Lytechinus pictus: one gene and its partners. The protein of the gene in region 1 purifies or fractionates together with the protein of each later gene. This does not show direct contact. Links are inferred from orthologs where the notes say so. Each region holds a gene or a part of one and is shown on either strand. Other genes may lie near its edges.

Region 1 (7,058 bases):
AGGTGGAAGGTGATTGATGATAGGAAGGGGACAGAAGAAGGGTCCATATGGAGTGTGGCAACAGGAGAGGACTGGGTAGGAGGTAGGAGGCCAGTTCTCTGATTATCTCCTTAACTCACATAGGAATTTTTAACAGTTGTGGCCTGAACAGTCACAGTCTGGGACTGGGACTGATAGACCGGCGGATGACCGACCGATGACCTAACGGCCTTAGTGGGTGTGGTTCTTACGTTTGAGCCGTTTGGCTTGAGGATCCGCTTTGGTCCTGCGTTGGCCCTTGGTACACTAACGGGTGTCATGTGTGCCTGATGGAGAGATAGAAATTTGACAACATGAATGAAAAGATAAAATTCCAAACAGAATTATACAAATTCATATATTAATTACTATGGAAAAAATAAAGGTTTAATTTAAATCTTGGTATAAATCCCAATGTAAATGGAAATTCAAATTCTAAACAGTAGTGACTTAATTTATAGGCACATTTGACTTAGTTTTCTTTAACATTTTAGCATGATTGATTGAGTCTACATGAAACATACATGTAAGAATGTTACACTACAATTAAAAAAAAAAGAAAAAAAGAAATGGATTCCAATAATTTGGCAGAGACTAAAGACTAAAAACATACCCTAAATTAAACCGGACTTTAGTGTATTGCCCAACGTGTTGGTGTGTCATACTCATACTGTGATGATTCGTGTGCATAAAAAGTCAGTCACAAAGACACAAACTTAATCTTATCACTTAGCTTGCATTCAATAAGAAATCAAGTATGTGCACATGATTGCACTTCAAATTTTATGTAACTATAACCATAAGGAGTGCTTTTATTGGTTGAGACATGTACATGTACTAAGAACAACATCTTGAAACAAAATAAAATTAAAAACATTTTTTTGTCTTCAAATTTACAAGAAGCTGGGGGGAAAATGGTAAACAAACCTTTGATGGCATGTGGGCTTGAGAAGAATTTTCTTTGCCATATTCTGAAGTCATCTGTGTTAATAAAATAATGAAAGACGTGTGTGTTATTGGTAAGAATGGTTTGGAAATGTCTCCATATAGGCTGCCATGGGTACCTTTGAGGTTGGGGTACCAAAAACACCCCAAATTAAAGAGAAAAAAAGAAAAGAAATCATACACCCACCTTGGATGAAGGTCTAACGGACTGCATGAATCCTTACATCAAGGCAGTAGCCAGACCCTCAATAAAGGGGGGGAAAATGGCTGTGACCTGTGTTCGTTCACTCACTTTCAAAATTGCAAAGAAAACTGTCCGATAGATATACCAAGGGCACATGCGCAATATAGACTCTGTCAAATTCACGCATGCGCCCTCGGTATATTGATCGGACAGTTTTGTTTGTAATTTTGAAAGTGAGTAAACTGATGCGGCCTTTTTTGAGGGTCTGACTCCTGCCTTGATGTCAGGATTCATGCAGTCCATTGGCATTAGCCCTTCATCCATAGAATTGAGGTGGATGCATGATTTCTTTTTTTCCCCTTTAATTTTGAGTGTTTTTGGTCCCCCAACGTCGAAGGTACCCATCTTAGTTGTTAACTGTGGCAGCCTATGGCTATCTTCTGGGCTCATGCAGGCCTGCTCTGGGTTAAATTAGTATAAGTTTTCATGTGAATATAAAGATTTTTATCAATCATATGAGATTTTCTCAATGATCCTGAGCTGTTAATACATGTATTTCTAAATCAAGCAAATGTGATTTGATCTGATGTTGACATGCCCAATCATAAGTCAAGTGGAGCACAGTCGATATTGGAACCAAAAAGAGGTGTTTTTTTTAAAGAATAATATCTTCCATTTTGGAATTTTGTCATTTGGTATTAAATCTGAGAGACAGATTTCGGTCCTAATGCAATGTAGGCCGACTTCGAGCAAATTTCCCCATCAGAAATTGTTCACAAATGTCATGGCTAGTCACTCAGTCAAATTTCAAGGTCAATAAACAATAGGCCTATATCTAGTTATCTACCGCTTTTCCAAATGTCGTGACCGGGAACCACTGTATTTCAGCTCATATCTCGACGTTATCGTTCAATTCTCAGTCAGACATCGCTTCACTTCATTTTGGGTAATTTTGATATGGATGAAGTTAGCGACCAAAAGATTTGTCCGTGGCAGCTCACAAGGCTGAAGCCAAGCGAAGTCTGACTGAGAATTTGAACGATGACGTCGACATCGAAGGCGAAATACGGCCGTTTCCAATCGCGATATGCAGAAAAAACGGAGGGCATATTGACCTTGAGACATGTGTTTGTGAGATGTGATTGGACAATAAAAAACAAAAGAAATAGAATTACTCAATTAGTGAGCATGGTGAGTGAGTGACATCATCGACTCTCAGTCTCATTTATCACTGAATTGAGCATAGAACTGTTTTGTGAAAAATAAGCGAAACTTTCAAATGTCGTAACTTTCTTATTTTAGTTTTTTCATCCGTTTTTTTTAATGAAGTTTTCGGCGTTATTATTCATGTTTGATTTTCTCTATTTATTTAAATTAACTTTTTTATTGGGTGAACTTGACCTTTAAGATCAACACTTATTACAAAATATAAGCACCACTGGCACAGTCTGAGTCAATCATAAGCATGTCCAACATAACAACAAACCAACGGCATATTAAATACATGGCAATGTCTTTCTCTAATTAAAGACTCTATATCGCAATTCGCATCGCAGGGCATGCACTATAGCGGACCCGTACCGGCAGTGCAGTGCAGCGCGGCGATGCAATCTCACACAACTTCACAAGTGCAACTACACTAAATTCAATCAAGACTCAACCACATAAAACACGTCTGTTTCTCGACTAATAACAATAATTTACCTCGGAAATGACGAACTGTGATATTGGCTAACAGAATGATGAACTTCACTTGAAAAAAGCCCTATAATATTGCAAATGATGAATATCTTGATAGGGATTTTCGCGGAAAACTCGATCACACAGCTCAATGACAACAATGCGGCTGGTTGGTTTCCTTTTAAATTTCAAGCCAAAATCGCGCAACGCCATTGGCTGACACCGCTTCATGACGTTTTTAGGGACTAGGTGCTACACAAGGCCTGATTAGATTTTTTTTAGTTGAAATAACATTTTTTAAACAATGTTTTTCGGAATTTCGGCATTACTCCTATGTGTTTTGATCGCATGCTCAATTAAATAGGGGGGAAATAAGCCCGCTCCTCGATCCCGCCGCCTCCTCCTAGCTTCTTCTCCTCCTCCCAGTGGCGTAACAGGCGGGGGTGGCAGGGGGGAAATTAAGCTGCCCCTGGCGGATATCACCGGGAAAATTAAAAAAACGGGAAAAAGGGAAAAGGGAGAAAGAGAGAAGGGGAACGGGAAAAGAAAGAGAGAGAGAAAAAAAGAGGAAAGAGAAAAAAGGAAAGCGGGAAAAGCCGGAAGAACATTTGAGAAAGAACAAAATATCCCGAATTAGCATGATTAGCAAGAGGGTGATATGAAATAAAAAGATATGACTCAATGGCATAGGCAAGAATTAATGGCTGGGAAATTGGAGAAAGAGGCAAAAGGAAACGGGAAATGAAGGAAGAGCCAAAAGCTAATTGAAAATCAGAATATGAAGAAAAGGGACATGAAAAAAAAGAAAGAACTTAATAACACGACCGGGCTGCCGAGGATTGAAAAATATAAAGAACGGGAAGAAACTAGGATGCAATAATGGTAGCTCGCTGGCTACTTTTTAAAAACAAATTTTACCACATTAATATTTTGCTATGTTGTCCTGCTTCAAAATATTTCGTATATTTTCCGCAATTGCTTTGAAGTAATGTGGTGTATGTACCCGCGTTTGATAAAAAATTGCCATCTGCAATGTCATGAGGTTCAGGGGGCTCCGCAGTGACGGCACCGAGCGGGAGGCACGTGGGCATTTACCCCCAGTGAGTTAATGAGTTGGCCCCCACTTGCCCCCCTCCCGAAAAAAAAGAAAGTTGTATAGTAAATGTTGTCCTAAGCAACCTATTAAAGCTGCAAAGTGCTCGAAACAGCTTTTTCGTTCTTTAAATTTTGAAAATTTCCCATCCATTCCCTGTTAGCTCCCAACAATCATGTCAACACAATTCTTTCAGGTCATCATTATATAAAATTCAAAATTTCGCTCGCGCTTGCAGTAACTGTTGACTGAGATAAGTAAATTATCTGTTCACATGGGGCATAAAAATCCAGTGTTCAAGTCAATATAATGCTTCTCGGAATTAAAGTTTTCATTATTCGTTTTAAGCGAGATACACATCCTGCGTATCATAAGTTTCATTTATAAATCAAAAGTTTTCGGCTCGTGCTACGCGCTCGCAGCAATAATTGTTTAGTTAGATAGCCATCCGATTCATGATAAAAAAAAGTGCTTAGAACGTCGAGAGTATCATCTCATCAGGATATAAAAAACTTCAGCTCGCGCTTCGCGCTCGCATTATTCATTATTTTGGTGAGAGTCATGATCCAGTGCAAGCATAGTCATTCACAGGTCCCTCTTCAAGTCAGTATAGTGCATTCCTACATTGAAAAAAATAGCTCACGCTTAATTCTCGCTCGATTTCGTGAAATAGGCAAAAAAATTGTGTTGCCCCCCCATGTTTTTTTGCCTCCCTTTAGGTTAAAATTCCTGGTGCCACCTCTGCCCCGGACCCAATCCGCATAGCACTGGCCCCCAAAAGTTAAACAAAAAAGAAAAGATGAAAGGAAAGGGAAGATGTAAATTATGATGTTATTTTCTGAATACCTTTTCAAAATCAATCTCAAAGTTAGATTCTCATGAAAAGGTGATTTTTTTTCTCGCTCGCTTCGTTCACTCGGGGCTTATATATTAAGCAACTTTTTGCCGCGCGCGCCATGCTGTGCCCCCTCTTTTTGTACTTAATATCACGCATTAAACTCTAATGCTCTGGCACAATCGCAAAAAATCCTGTTCATAATTATATACCATGATATGACCGGGAAATTTTTGGCTCTTGCCCCCCCCCCCCCCACCCCACCGACCCCTGTTACGCCCCTGTCCAAGATCTGAGCAGGGACATTATCCTGATCTATCCAGGCTTATCAAATGATAAACTTTGGCATGTTCAGAAGGGTGAGGAACATAAAAAATATACATTTTTATGATTGATAGGGAATAATGCACCAATTTGAAAGAAAATATAGATAAGTGATTAGTACATTAAGATGAACATTGAATGGCAAACTACAAGTGTGTTGCACTATGCGAAAGTGAACAGTAGCATTGGAAATTGACTTTTGTTTTCATTAATAAAGGTATAAAACTTGACCTCAAAACAATTATTTTAAAAAAGTAATGCAAACAAGAATGCAATACTGTTGGAATTCGGCATGGAACAGAGTCGACCTGTTCTCTCTATCATTATGCATTCTCCATTATCAGACTTGAGTACTGTTGTTGCCCTTCTGAATATTATTTATGAGCCTGGTTAGATCAAAAAGTAAATTTCCCAGGTCAGATCAGGGAAATCCCTCATCAGATTCTGAATGATCAAAGTTGGTTGATATGCTTGGACGATGCAGAACGCACAGTGGTATCAGTGCTGCATGTATATGGAAAATTAAAATGGGCTGAAAAGCACCACTGTTATGATGTGTATTCAAAACCGCTGAAGCAAGACCAATTAAATTGTTATTGAAGTTAGGATATTAAATGGGCTTTCTAGTTCCACATCTTTAAATGAGAATTATTTTTAATTTTGGAATTAATAAAGCCGTATATCAGAGGGACATTTCCGGGGACGCGCTGTATATATACGCATCTTGATCAGGATCACAAACATTGCCCAGAATGTTCAATTTTCAGGACAAAATCATACATGAAATTTCCAAAAATTATAAATAGGGCTTATGAGATTCTTGTATATTTATGTTGTTTTATAAGAATAAAGCTAAAAGGTGATTATATAGTACCTCCTCCTTCAAATAAAGAAACAAATTAACTTTGAGTGGCCGATGGGGGAAAATATGGGAGAAAAAATTCGCCCCCTATATATCTGCCTATTGGCGAAGGCTGCATGGATCCGTCCCTGTTCTTCTCCTTCTCCTCCGGCCTTCTTCTTCTTTCTTCTTCTTCTTAATTCTTCTTCTTCCTCCGAAGTCTTCTTCTTCTTCTTCCTTCTTCTTCTTCTTCGATCTACTTCTTCTTCGTCGTCTTCTCCTTCTTCTTCCTCTTACACCAGGCGGAGGTCTGTACGTACTTGAGGAGATGAAGATGAATTAGAGTCTACATGACAAAATTATAGTATTTTCATCAGGGGCGTCAAAAGAACATTTGGGGGCGGGTCAACACACAAATATTTTGCCAATTTCTCAACTCGAGCAAGAAGCGCGATGTATTATTTTTTTTAATGTAGACCCTATACTGATTTAAAAAAGAGACCTGTTAAGGACCAGCTGTTTGCATTGGGCCATGGAGATGATATCTCACCAAATAAATAATGCGAGCACGAAGCGCGAGCTGAAAATTTTTGACATCCTGAGATGATAACTGGACGTTCTATAAGCACTTTTTGTAATCATGAACTGGATGGCTATCTAATCAAACGTTTAATGCGAACGCGTATATAGCGCGAGCTGATTTTTTTTTATTTATGAAAATTATGAGTATAGGCAGGTTGCGTATCTCGCTAAAACGAATAATGAAAATTCTATTCGCGAGAACCATATTGACTTGAACATTGGATTTTAAAGCCCTATTTGAACAGATAATTTACTTATCTCAGTCAACAGCTACCGCGGGCGTATATAGCGCGGGCGACATTTTGAATTTTATATAATGACCTGAAAGATTTAGTGACATTATTGGGAGCTATACAGTGAATGGATGAGAAAATCTTCAAAATTTAAGGAACGAAAAAGCTGTTTTGGAGCACTTTGCAGCTTTAGTAGGATGCTTATGACAACATTTACTATACATTTTTTTATTTTTCAAAATTTCGGGGGTGGGGCCAACTCACTGGGGGAAAATGCCTTCCGTGCCTCCCCCTTGGTGCCGCCACTGGTCTTGGGCGGAGCC
Region 2 (7,079 bases), on another chromosome or scaffold:
TTTAAAGATCATGTGATGTTAAATTAGGATGGCAATTAACAACAAATTTGTCACTATCAGTATGACTATAGTATGAGACCCTGAACTTTTTGGTATAACCATGTTCATTGAATGAGTGGGTATTGAAGAAAACCCACCAAGGAAAGAGTTCCTCTTGTGACAGCCACCCAAAGTAACTAAAGATTGTCAAGAATTCCACCTGTTCCGGTTTATTCACTTCCTGTTTCTCCATTGTTTGCTAACCCATATGGGTGCGTGCGGTCAGACTCGGCCCAGCCGCCCAGCCCTCGGCCGGTCCGCGTCCGGGCACTCGACTCTAATCTCGGCTCAGCTGCGTCGCGTCGGCCGCTAATATAAGCCTACATTACAATCACATCCAATCCGAAAAGATGAATACTTATATTGACTGAATTGTACGTAAACATGTAGAGACCATTATGTAAAATATTACCTTTATTATATCACAGAACAATTGGCGTTAAAATACAAGCAAAGTTCATCTAAAAAGTGGAGCGGCTTCAGCAGCCTTAGGCTTAGCAGACTCTTTTATGTTTTCCAGAAAGTTATGGTGGCGCTAAAAGTATTGTTTTTGCTGAAATTCCCCGGTGTCAAGTTCAATCCATCTGTCAGAATTATAATACAAAAGAAAAAGGGCTAAAACAAGAAAATTCATTGTGTTATTGATTAAGATAAACCCCAATTGTTTTTTTCTTTATTTCATCATGAAAGTCGGCGGGTTTCGATTCCCGGCACGGCCCTTGACCAAGGCATATATTTCTATTAACATATTGCTTTTAAAAAAAATCTTGCATCAAATAAAGCGAAAATGCTTTATTTTTATTATATTCATAATCAATAACAGACTTAAAATGGGTGAGAGTTTTCCTCCTCGGATATCTGACAAACAAGCTTAACACAGGGGCCGCTGAACGGTTTTCAAAGTTGGGGGGGGGGCCGGCTGAGCCAAAAGTGGGGGGGGGGGCTGACCATGCTAAAATCACAATCATATGGTCATTTTTACATTTTTGTACACGGTTTTAGAAAAAAGTGGGGGGGGGGGGCTGAAGCCAACCCCCAAGCCCCCCGGTTCCGCGGCCCCTGTAACACTAGAAAAAAATTCTATTTTTATAGAAGTTTTTTATATATATTAATTCAATTTATTCAATTCAATTCAATTCAATTCAATTCAATCATTTTATTTTCCACTTTCAATTTCATATTTACAATTTTTGATACAATTGACATAGTAACATATAATCACATTTGAAGTACATACAAAAAATTGATAACATTGTAAAATTACAATAGACAATTATCAAATCGAAATATAAATAATTGAAAGGGAGGGAGGGCCAACTGATAAGCAGAGCTTGTATAATGTAGGCCCCCCTAATGTTGTAATTACGTGTTTATAGCAACTGAATTGCTCTTTTGTAAAAACAAACAAACAAACAAACAAACAAACAAATAACAATATTTACATTATGTAATATAAACATTATTATACAAATCATATGCATCATATTAAAAAATATATGAATCACTCATAGTGTATACAAATTATTAAAGGTTTCCTTCTTAGCACTGAAGGCTTAATTTGTAATTGATGAATTAAATATTTAGTAATAATTCAGGAGAAATGATTTAAGTCGTTTTTTGAACATTTGTATAGAATTGCTTTGTTTTATATCAATTGTAAAAGAATTCCATAGCTTAGGACCCATAAAAATAAACGTTTTTTGAGCAAATGATGTTCTGTTCAGTGGTAAATGAAAAGAGTTTGCTTGGCGTGTGAAGTGACTATGAATCGAACTATTTTTAAAAAACATATCAATTAGAGGCATAGGTAGTTGTTTAGTATTAAGCTTGAACATAAACTGTCCAAGTTGAAAAGTGTACAGTTCTTTAATTTTCAGAATTTTATTTTTCAAGAATAGATTATTTGTATGTGCCCGGAAATCTGCATTATTTATTACACGAATAGCTCTTTTTTGCAATATCAATAGTCTATCGATCAGCCAAATTGTTGCATTACCCCAAGCAATAAGTCCATAATTTAAGTAATTTATTACCATTAATTCAATTCATTCATTTATTTTTGTTTGTTTCTTCATTCATCCACTCACTCATTCATTCATTTATTCATGATTGATTCTTTCATTCATTCATTCAGGGGGGGGGGGTGATAAAGTATATGGTTTTGGTCTGATAAGGTGGATCGGCAGGGGGGGGGGGTGTTATGCATTCATATGCATACGCAATATTTTTTTCCTTTTCTTTCTTGTCTTTTTTTCAATGTCAAATTTATTTTGTATTGCAATGGAAACTATTTTAATGTTTTTTATGGAAAAAAAATGAATAAATAAACAAATAATTAATTAATTTATTTATTTATTCAATCATTCATTCCTTCCTTCATTCATTATTCATTCATTTCATTTTCCCAGACGCGGGAGCTCTGCATTCAGTACATTAATGAACTTCTTAAAGGGCATGTCCGACCCTTACAAACTTTTATTTGAATACAAAGGAAAAATCAAACCAGCATAATACTGGAAGTTCCATAAAAATGGGATCGATGTGAGATAAGAATTAATTATTTCACCTTATTTCACAAAATAGTTATATATGGTTATATTCAAATAAGGGGGCCGATGACATCACCCCGGGCATCACTGTACATCCGTTTCTTTTGTATTTTATTACATGAAAATAAATAATATGAAATAGGGCCTATTTCAATTTCATCATCCTCATTGAGTTTGACTCCTCCCTGAACATGAGGAAATACCATTATATTGTTACCTTTACCCGAGATTCTGGAAGAGTGCCGTTGTGAGGGTCCTAAATCTGTAAAAAAGGAAAAATAATAAATAAAGAAAATAATAAATAGATAATTAAATAAATAAATGAATGAATAAATAAATAAATAAATGTAAAAAAAAAAAAAAATCATTATTCGAACCAAATAAAAAAAATAAAAGAAACGTAAGTGATTGACATCGACTCTCTCATTTATCACTGAGTTGTGCATTTACTGTTGATGTAAGTGAAAGTTTAGAATATCATATAACTTTTCTTATTTTTCATCCAATTTTGCTGATTCTTCAGCGTACTGCTTGCTTGAGTATTCTCTAAGTTTCTGGGGTGGACTTGAACAATAGGCCTACCTCGAAACAAAATAGAAAACATCATAAAAGGGTACGTCCATCTCAAAACTAAAGAGAGAGGAAAACAAAAACAAGTGATGGGCCTATACTAAACGAATGTCGGATGTAAAATAAAATGTCACTGAACAGTTATACAGTTATGCACAACTCATGCTTGGAAATATATACACCGGTATTCAAATGTATAGTGAATTGGGAAAGACAATGATGTCACTCATTATTTATTGTGTATTTTATTGTTTTAGTTCTTTCTTGAAATATAGACAGATAGATCTTTATCTAGTTAGATAGATAAATAGATATAGATAGATAGAGAAAGAGAGAGAGAGAAAGAGAGAGAGATAGATAGATAGATAGATAGATAGATAGATAGATAGATAGATAGATAGATAGATAGATAGATAGATAGATAGATAGATAGATATATAGATAGATAGATAGATAGATAGATAGATAGATAGATATATAGATAGATAGATAGATAGATAGATATATATATAGATAGATATATATATAGATAGAGATAGAGATAGGGAGATAGAGGGGAGAGATAGCTAGCTGATGAGATAGATAGATAGAGATAGATAGATAGATAGGTAGGTAAGTATAGGTAGGTATGGGTAGGTAGATATATAGATAGAGAGAGGGAGAGGGGGGATGGAGATAGCTGATAGATAGATAGATGGATGGATAGATAGATAGATAGATAGATAGACTATTCTGTTTACAAGAAATTACTCCATAATCCGCGCTGGGGAATCCACCCCATGCAGTGTAGATCTCTCAACCAGGTCTGAATTAAGGCTAGAAGGATAGGAGATTAAAGACTGGTATCAAATCTTATTCTTCACTCCGTTGTTCGTTTTGGTATCCTAATGTCACAATTTTATTTGAAGATTAGTTTATTTTCTTCTCATTTATCCATCATCCACGTAAACGCCGATTGCCGGTGCCGCAAAGTGACGATTTGAAGAAAACAACACAACTAAATTGATGAAATTTTAGGTAGATCTCAAGACTGAATATGGCGAGCCCTCGAACACGGAGAGTGCTAAAAGATTTGCGTCTAAAAAATGGAAATAACGTGAGTAGACTTCGTGTGTTTACTATCATTTATGGACGGTAGTGCATGGATTGATGGCCGTGGCTTGATTCTCGCCAAAGAGTTCGGCTGCGAAGCGGCGCGGCGGAGCTTCAGCTTGTGGTCTGCTGCGACCAGCAGCTGCTCTCTGGCGTAGCTTTTTTGTGGAATTGTGCTGCTGGGTTAATTACGCAAACATTAACAAGTTAGTGCAATGTTAGACCGATAAAGGTATATTTCTGTCAGGGATATGCTCCGCTGAGCCGAAACTTTGTCTGGCTCCGCAGTGGCAGCCGTCTGTTTCGAAATTCGAGGACTTTTTTAACATTTGAAATTGTTTAATTAAATTTCCTTGTAGAACTAGAAATGTAACTTTTTTTTTACTATTTTAGTACTAGTAGTACACAGACGGCTCGCGATTGTGCAGCCGCCATTTTTTTACTAGGAATAGGAGGTTAATTACATGCAAAATTCCCCCAACAGGGCTCATCGATTTTTGTCTTTAATTATAAAAAGAACTGGACGAAAATGAAGATTATTAATATTATTCCGTTTTGGCCTGAAATGCACCAAAACGGGAAAAAAAATTAAAAGGAAGAAAAACCAGTGACTTAGTCTTAGATCTACTTCGGCTGTGCACAACTCCCACTTCCCTGGTTTATCCGAACTTTATACATGTACATAAACATGGCCATTGAGTCCCTGAACAGATCGAGTTAGAACTTCGGTCTCTGTAATTGGTGAGTGCATGGAGCCAACAGAGTTCAGCGGAACAACCAATATAACAGAGACCGAAGCTTTTGGTCTAGCTCCGCGGCATCCCCTCCGTCAACAGACCGATGTCGATGAGGGCCATTTGCAGAACTAATGTTAGTCGAGGCTTGGTTTGGTTTGGCAATGCAGCATGGCACACTAGTTTTTCAGCACTGCACAAAGTACGAAAATACTCTACCCAGAGGTCTGTACTACACCCGGAAGAAGAAGAAGAAGAAGAGGCGTTGGTCAGAAAATTGGGATCGTCCCAGTTTACAGGGACTGTCTCAGTTTTCAAAGATTTCTCCACACAAGAAATCTAGGAAAGTTTATTCACCTGTCAAGTGTTGACAGCCTGACACCAATCAAGTGCGCTATTCCATATAAATATATGATTTCATTATCAGGTTTCATAACAAGATTATTGGAAGACGGCAAGTCATAAAAAATAGATGGTGAACTGGGGGGTATTGAGGTCACTGAATCTATTTTTTAGCACTCTCAATCCCGGTAATTACCATCTATGTCCCACAGGGTTAAGTGAAAAAAAAAACGTCCCCATATACAAGGAAAATCTCAATTTATCAAGACATGATTTGTCTTTGTTTATATCCTTGCATTCTGGGAAATCCAAATTTTTGGACTAGAATATTGGTTAGAATATTTACCACAAATTAGTAAAAGTTAATTTGTTCAAATATTAAAATCGACATAGTTTTAATCATTTGTAAACAAAGTGCGTAGCTTTAGGTCCCCCCTGGGGGTCACTCTCCACATGGACTGCTACCCACCCGTGTCCAACAACCTCAGAAATGCACCCTAAATGGCGTTATGACATTAAGTAAATTTGCAACCCTAAATGGCGTAACCCATGAGAAAAGCCACCCTAAAACAGGAAAATCCCCTAATTTGAAACCCTAAGTGGCGTAAACATCAAAATCAATGTTATACCTGTGGGTGTGTGGGTAACGCATGCTGCCTAGTAAGTATAGAGCCAGGTGTAAGAGACTAGCTAGAACTGTACCGGGAGGGGGGGGGGGGGTAACTCTCATCATGGATCTAATAGTAACCCGGAATAGTAATAGGTCCATGCTCTCATAAGTGCTGCTCTGGCTGCGCCGGCGTGTGGGAGGATTATTTTGTATCCCTTACAATCGCCTTTCATGGTGTTTATGGCTTATGTCTGCTCCCGGGTCCCCTCAAATTTGCCCAAATTTGCACCCCTAAATGGCATAATTTCCCGCATAATTTTCATAACCAAATTAGCAACTATTGTATCGTGACCTATCAGTATTACCTTAAGTTAACTGTAATTTACGAGAATCTATGGGCTAATCTGACCTTAAGATATGGATCTCGCGTCGGATTATGGCCTGGCACGAAGCTTGAGTTGCACTGGTTGAACTTGAAGCTAGTTGCAGAGCGCTCTGGTCCTTGCTGTAGCGTAGCTAGCTGCCGGGGTATGGTGCGTCCTCAGGCCAGTAGTACACGTTCAGCGGTGGATCCAATTGACTCATAATAACACATAACTAAAATGCGTCTTAGCTTATATAGGGGATGGGACCCGTGAGCCGTGACAAGATACCGAAATTATATGGCCCGCCAATAGGGAATACATGTATATGTGTGTAATGCTATGGACAGCGAATAGGGAAATTATAAAGGAGTGCTTGTCTCTACACTTCTCCCAATCTTATTGAGGATAGATCTTATCTAGACTTATTAATTAACTTAACCTAACAAATAACCCTTAATTCTAAAGAATATTGGATACAAAACAGGTATCCCAGCAAACTATGTGGCCCTACTATGTAAACATATATAGATACAGTTCTTGCTTTGTTCATCTTTTCTTTTCTCATCATCTTTTTTTTTTTTCTTTTTCTTTTTTCTTTTTTCTTTTATCTTCTTTTCTTCATCTTTTCTTCTTTTTTTTTTCTTCATCTTTTCTTTTCACATCTTTCTTGTCTTCTTTTTTTTTTTTTTTCTTTTTTCTTTTATCTTCTTTTCTTCATCTTTTCTTTCATTTTTTTTTTTCCTTTTTCTTTTTTTTTTTTTCTTTTATCTTCCTTTTT
Region 3 (7,376 bases), on another chromosome or scaffold:
TCTGGTGACAGACCTCCATGTACACACAGAACCTGCTCATCAATGATCTTGCAAAGACACAAAGGAGCAATAAACAATTAGAAATTTAAATTTATGGAATTACACTCTTGAAACCAGATGAATTGCATCCAAAACTTAATACTTGAAAATTGAAAAAACAGATCAATGGATGATTAAGAAAGATTAAATTAATCACAAAGTTATAAAGGATTTGAATATTGAGAACTTAAGATCACTAAATGCTTTGGAGATCCTCACATTGGCAACGTAAACAAAATGTACAATTTTTTATGTTGCATTTTATAAAGATGTCTTTTGTTCTACAGGAATTTACATCTTCTCAAAAATATACTACATACATATAAAACTTCAATTCACGTTTGTTTCTTGTCTTCATGCACCATTTTGTCTCTTGACAACAATTAATGCAGTAAGTTTCATTCCAACTGCAAAAGTCACCCTATCTTCAAATCCCCTCTCTCCCACTAAAAATCATCTCTTCAATTTAATAATATATTCACATCATCACATTTGGCAACCTCATCAACAATAAAACAATTTTCTTCACTTGAAACTTACTGCAGCGATTGTGAGAAGATCAAAGACTTTGGTGCAGTACCTCCATGCATTAGCATTTCCATATTTCGTCTGACATTCATCTGAAAATGAAAAAAAAGGGAGCAGTTTAGAGTTTTCACATGTCATTGGTCATGTTTCACTACAAATAAATTAGAAGCTACAAGGGCTAACGGCTCCTTGGTCTAATAATAGTTGGTCTAACACCAGTTGGTCTAATTAATCCATTATTTCTCCATGAAAATGTGTATTTTTTCAATCAACCCTACTTTTAATTGTCATTCAACTGTCACCCTCTGCCGATACTTGCAGGGAGGTATAGGACTACCAGGCAAAGATGCAGCCGGATTAAACACAACACCATTTCAAGGGCCATATTGTTTTTGTACAGTAGTCTGCCTCTCAAAACTATGTTGTCTAATCCGGCGAGATTTGCACCTGGGCCCCGTCTTACAGAGTTGCGATTGATTCGATCAACCTCAACTATATGGAAATCCATCATTGTCATAATTTTTCCTATCAGAAATTTGCACAATGTCCTTTGTTAACAAAGAGAAAGCATAACAAATTGTCAAGACTAAGATGAATGTATTAAAGGGTATGTATCGTATCTAGAAAATATTTTGAACAAACATGCATTTTAGATATGGGCGTTGCTGGCTTTCCATAGTTGTGGTTGATCGGATCAATCGCAACTCTTGTAAGACGAGGCCCAGGAATTACAACCTCTGCTATAGCAAGCACTCCATCCAAAACTAACTCATTGAAATAAATGTATGTCTTCTGTTCAGCCCTTGCGTACATGTTAATATATGACAATACATGTATTTCTATGACACTGACAACTTTGCCTTCTCTTTTTGATACTTCTTTCTCTTTCAACTACAAATTCATAATTTGTTATACCCCTTCTTATTCCTGTCAAATTTTCATAAATACATTTTGTTTTTATAATGGTTGGCAGGCTCTGGAATAAAGATGGCTTACCATAGAATCCATAGACTTGTGTAATTTGTCTGCTTTCATGATTCCCTCTCAACAGAACAATACGGTCTGGCCATTTTGCTTTTAGTGTGAGTAACCTAGTGAATGTCTCTAAGCTGTAATAACCTCGGTCTACAAAGTCACCCTGGAAGGGAAAGAATGGATGGGATTTATCAAACAAAGTAAAAGTCCTATCCAATCCAATGGTCATTAGAAATATCACATTTCCTTTTGGTTGCAAAGCACTGCAGACACACAACTCCAAGTTTGGGCTAGTCAAATAATAATTCAACACCTCAGAATGGTCAGATTAGTCCATGCAATTCATTGTCCTCATTAGCAAAATAGATGGAATTTAATGACTTTCTTGAATAGCCATAAAATTGCCATTACCTATCTTTTACCTTTTTTTTTACCTAATTTTTTTTCAAACTATCAAAATCTTCATAACAATGATTTTTTAACCTTTGTTTTCATCTTGAAATTAATTTTTTTTTTTTTTTTTTGGGGGGGGTTGTTGTATGCACTTTGATCAATAACGAGATCGGGTCCACATAACATAAAGCTCAGTGATGTCTTGATAAGTTTCCCCCAATCAAGTGATAAAAAAAGAATTTCTTACCATGAAAATATAACTTGTATCTGGGATCTGACCACCAGTCCTGAAAAGCTCTTCCAAGTCATAAAACTGTGAAATGGGGAAAAGAATATTAATAAAAATACATGAACAAGTACTTACTAAATGAAATATGGTAAAACAAATGGTGTCTAGGTAAAAATTATGAGACACGATAAATTGGATTTGTCTGAAAAAGATGAAAAGCAAATGTTAAATGGAATACTCCCAAAATAATTATGATATGTATACATGCAAACAAAAAAATCCTTACTTCTTAGCATCATTGAGAACACAGTTATGATGACTCTAATATCTGGACATACAGTAAAGGGCTAAAAGTGATTTTATGCGATGTGGTGGGGGGGGGGGGGGAAATGAAGATGGGATGGTGCAAGCAAGGATGGAAGATGAAGGAGAAGGGTGAAGAATAGAAGCGAAAGAGGGGAAGAAGGATAATGGGGAGGAGGAGGACTGATGAAAGGATGAGCAGAAAAAGAAAGGGGCAAGGAGAAAGGAGATGATGAGGTAGACAGAAAGGAAGAAAAGAAGGACACAGGGAAGGTAAAGACCAGAAAAGATTACGGGACGGAAAGAAAAGGAAAAGATTAAAAAAAAGGATAGGGAAAAAGTATGACCAACAAGGAGCTATCATCTAATTGAAAATCTAATGTAACAGTTACATCAACAAAACCGACCACAGACCAATGAAATTTACTTGTATGTTATTTTAAATTCTCAGATTTCTATTTCGAATAAGAAAAAAAATATGGATATCATAACATTGGTCAATTGGAGTCACTTTTGTTGTTGTGAATGCAATATACCCAAGAAATTTACCTGTCCATGTATATCCCCACACACTGTAACTGGAGTTGATACCGGTTGAACGTTGCATTCCTCTAACTGCAGGTCACATACCACATCACACAATTTCTGGGGAACAAAAAGTGGAGAAATAATTTGATTGAAACACCAAATGCAGAATCAGGGATTTAGAAAAGTACCCATGGTCAAGGAAAAGCAATTTTTCTTAAAAATTACAAAGACATGGCTATTGCCATTATTCCCATCCGATTCACAAGGGTCCAAGGTAGAAAGGTTGTAAAAATATCATCCTATAAAACAAATATCTCACCACCCCTCCCCCTTTTGTCTTAGCTGAAAACGAGTGTCGCTACTTAAGGCGAGCACATAATACGCCCGTCTGTAAAATGGAAAATGGAGTTATTGGTCAAGCAAGAAAAGTGGAAGGTGGCGACTTGACCTTTGACCTTTTGACCTCAAAATCGATAGGCTTCCTGGGATCCATGCTAGTATCATACACACCAAATTATATGAGCCTTGGTTAAATTAAAGTTATCGCGTTTAGAAGGATTTTAGAAGGGTATTAAAGATGAAAACATGTCGGTGTGACCTTGATTTTTGTCCTCAAAATTAATAGGTTTCCTAGGATCTAGGCTAGTATCATACACACCAAATTATATGAGCCTAGAATAAGTTAAACTAAATATCACCTTAAGGACTTCAGAAGGGTAAGATGAAAACATGACAGTGTGACCTTGACCTTTTGACCTCAAAATCAATTGGCTTCCTGGGATACAATTACATGCTAGTTACATACACATCAAATTATATGAGCCTAGATTAAGTAAAATTGAAGTAATCTCCTTTACAAGGACTGCAGAAGGTTAAGATGAAAATATGTCACTGTAACCTTGACCTTTGCACCTCAAAATCAATAGGCTTCCTGGGATCAATGCTATATATCATAATGATAATACACCAAATTATATGAGCCTAGGTTAAGTCAAACTAAAGTTATCGCGTTTACAAGAAAAAGTTAACGGACGGACATTGAGCGTGATATACGTTCCGTCTAGGACGGGCCTATAAAAAGTGATAGGTGAACATAACTTGGCGATTACATATTGCTAAATCATGGTTAATATAAGACCCCTGTTACACATACGTTTGCAAGTGGACTGAGGCCGGCCCCGGAGGCGGCTCGACGTATGTGTAACATCAACTTTTTTTGAAAAGCCGGACTGAGGCCGGACTGAGGCCAGGTGGACTCAGTCCACCTCTGGATGTGGTTTGAGGCCGGCCCGAGTCCGGACTCAGTCCCGCAATCGGTAGGTGTAACACCAAAGTGGACTCGGCGCCGGCTTATAAGCGGAAGTGACGCGACCTGTCATCATCAACAATGCATCGGCCGGGCGCGCTTTTGCCATTTGGACCAGGCATGCAGTATATATTATAGGTAAGCCTCGCCCCGAGCGTAAAATTACATTGTTTTTCATCATTTATTGCTTTAAATTTTAATTTCCTCATATCCAGCAGCCTGCACTAAGACACGACATATTCTGTACTGGTGGGCTAAAAGTTTAAACCGTTTATTCCTGGTATTTTCTCCGAACAGAACTGATGAGTGATGGTGACTTGTAATTCAGTCCCATCCCTATATTTCTGTGGGTTTGGGAATTATGATTTTCGATCGTCTGATCATTTCCTGTTTATTTCGATGTTTTTAAATACATCGCTACTGTGATTGCACCATCTGAAGAATGATCATTATTTTTTTGTTGGCGATGATAATTTATCAATACTAATAGACAGACTAAAAACAATAGCCTGGACAGGAGTGCCATACATCATGAGCCGTCATAATTTTTCTCATATGATTATGAAATTATGACTCATCATCATCAGACTCGGAGTCAGACTGTCAGAGTTAATACATCATCTTATGCCTCAAACAAAGTCATCATGATCATGAGGCATGAACTTGATGAAGTATTTAACTTTGATTTTGAAGGCATGGCCAGGGGCAGGCCAGGCCATGAGACATGAAACTAGACAATTGCCATTAATTATTTCAAATGCCAATAATCCACTCAGTCGGAGTCGCACATAGTCAGAAATTGGACATGAAATATGTCGCTAGACATTGAAACAAATGAGTAGGGTCTAGATCTACATATAAAATAGTGTCTGCCTGTAAAATCCCCACAAAAAAGAAGTAGACTAAAATAAGTAGATTCTAGCGGTGAGTGCATAAAACAATGTTAATACAGATTACAGTACAATAATATACACAACTCTAACTTCGAAGTCCTATCCCTAACCAACCAAAGTCATCAGGAGGCCGCGTACTCTAGGATGGACGCCGGGGTCTGCGAACCCTAACCCTAGCTGTAACAGACTCTGCGTACCTTACTATTATAGTATTAACTGTCTCTATAATTAACACTCTAGGCCTACCATCTCTAAATGATCATTAAACCGTCTCTAAAATTATCACTAGAAGCAAATTGTATTAAAAATTGTATACATTAACAGATTAACACGTGATATGATAACAAAAGAAACTTGTAAATAAAGTATGAATAAGTTCTTCTTCCACCGGTATTCAGAGATCAGCGGCTGGCCACGTGTTAGTTGCCGAGCTGTAGGAGTTTATCTTGATGGACTTGATAGATTTTTAGAATATTATTTCCCATATTTTGTATACTATATGGATTTCTAGATAGTTATTTTAGAAAGTGATTTCCCATATTTTGTATACTTTATTTATATTAGTTATGTCATTCTAAGTCATACCCATATTTTTCAATTGTTTTATTCAATTTTAGTGATGGGTACATATGGAACTTTAGCGGAATAATTTGTCCATCGATCATCAAATGTTACATAGCAGGGGGAGAAGGGCCTTCATATATCTAGGTGGTCGATCAATCTGAATCATTAAATTTGAATTTTTGATGATATTCATGTCAACTGTCCCCTGACAAGAGAAGTTGTTGACAAGATCAAAAATCCTAAAAGGTGATTAATAGATGTTACACATAATTTTATATAATAATTTTACCACATCGTAATCTTTGTGGTTACCATTATTAATTTGTATTTGTATTTGTTCTCTCATTTTAGATCAAAATGGCACCAACAGGGAGAGGGAGTCTGTGGGAAGATGTGGAGACGCTGTGCCTCCTGAATATTTGGCGGGAGAAAAACATTCAAGAACAGATGGATGGCACAGTAAGGAACAAAACGGTATTTCGTAAGATATGCCAATTGATGAAAGAAAGGGGGTTCGAAAGGGCAGAGGACCAAATCAAGCGGAAAATTAAACAACTAAGAGCGTCCTTCCGAAAGACGGAGGACAATAACAATCGATCAGGCAGGGGGAGAATTACATGTAAATTCTATAGCGAACTGCAGGAGATCTTTGGGGGCAGACCAGAGACTGCACCAGTTGCCATTCTGGCGTCGCAACCAGAGGAGGAGGATCAATCTGAGTCGCTAGACTCGGTGGACTCTGATTCACTGCCGAGAGAGGAGGAGGAGGATGGAGCCGAAGAAGATAGAAGTATAACGGATGATGAACTGGAGGAAAATGATGTGGAAGCACCAACAGAATTGGGTAAAGGATTCCTCTTCCTTTTTTCATTTGTAATCACATATACATGTTTATTTGTATATACATGTGTAATTATAAAGACTAATCCTTTTTGGCTCTTACCCTCTCAGTGTGAGCATTTAAAATAAACATTATTGGTATCATTATATTGTCTTGATGTATCATTTTATACTGAGTAATATGAAAGGAACTGATTTGAATTTACTAAAATAAAAATGTATTGAAAGTTAGCCTTTGTTTTAAAATGTTTTTACTTCAGTGACACATAACAACATAAAAATTAGTTCCCCTTCATTTTATGCATAAAAATGAAATGTTTATTATTGTAGTCACTTATTGTAATCGCTTTTCTATCCCTCATTTTCTTTAGTTGGCAATTTTCCACCGGAGGATCTAGAGGGACCTTCAACATCATCTGCTAATGGACGTAAGGCAACTGGTAATATAAACAGATTGTTTCCATACATTTGCTTATTTATAGTTCATATGATATTTGAATTCGATTCAGCAAATTTTCAAGAAAAGGGGCCTTTTACATCCCGTTGATGTTGCTTTCATGCAGTATGATTTTTTTTTGCAACTCAAGGTTTTCTCACTTGATTTGTTGTATTAGCTATTAGAAGTGTGATATTGCATGCCTTATGTCAAATACAGAAAAGTATGTGTGTAACAAGTTGAAAGAAATAAAATGATTGTATACCTTTCTTACCGCTATCACATTTGATTGATTTTTTTTTATTTACGATGTATTTTATACTACCTACTTCATAACAGGGG

Evidence for each region.
Region 2: the proteins of aurora kinase C-like (region 1) and ADP-ribosylation factor GTPase-activating protein 1-like purify together in Homo sapiens (affinity purification with mass spectrometry; 3 studies listed by BioGRID and IntAct, counting the BioPlex papers as one, with this or other methods). This does not show direct contact. The link is inferred for Lytechinus pictus from reciprocal best matches to the Homo sapiens genes AURKA and ARFGAP1.
Region 3: the proteins of aurora kinase C-like (region 1) and serine/threonine-protein phosphatase 6 catalytic subunit purify together in Homo sapiens (affinity purification with mass spectrometry; 4 studies listed by BioGRID and IntAct, with this or other methods). This does not show direct contact. The link is inferred for Lytechinus pictus from reciprocal best matches to the Homo sapiens genes AURKA and PPP6C.

The regions. Positions count from the first base shown.
Region 1 is NC_087246.1:50,027,359-50,034,416, forward strand, and holds the start of aurora kinase C-like, read right to left. Parts: upstream 3,007-7,058; 5' UTR 2,852-3,006; intron 1,000-2,851; coding exon 946-999; intron 306-945; coding exon 120-305; intron 1-119. UniProt on the Homo sapiens protein: Mitotic serine/threonine kinase that contributes to the regulation of cell cycle progression.
Region 2 is NC_087261.1:4,284,396-4,291,474, reverse strand, and holds the start of ADP-ribosylation factor GTPase-activating protein 1-like, read left to right. Parts: upstream 1-3,977; 5' UTR 3,978-4,194; coding exon 4,195-4,254; intron 4,255-7,079. UniProt on the Homo sapiens protein: GTPase-activating protein (GAP) for the ADP ribosylation factor 1 (ARF1). Involved in membrane trafficking and /or vesicle transport.
Region 3 is NC_087259.1:23,573,222-23,580,597, reverse strand, and holds the start of serine/threonine-protein phosphatase 6 catalytic subunit, read right to left. Parts: upstream 3,109-7,376; 5' UTR 3,017-3,108; intron 2,249-3,016; 5' UTR 2,186-2,248; coding exon 2,183-2,185; intron 1,706-2,182; coding exon 1,564-1,705; intron 660-1,563; coding exon 580-659; intron 48-579; coding exon 1-47. Other genes in the region: trichohyalin-like, read left to right, coding at 6,116-6,602, 6,970-7,038, 7,374-7,376.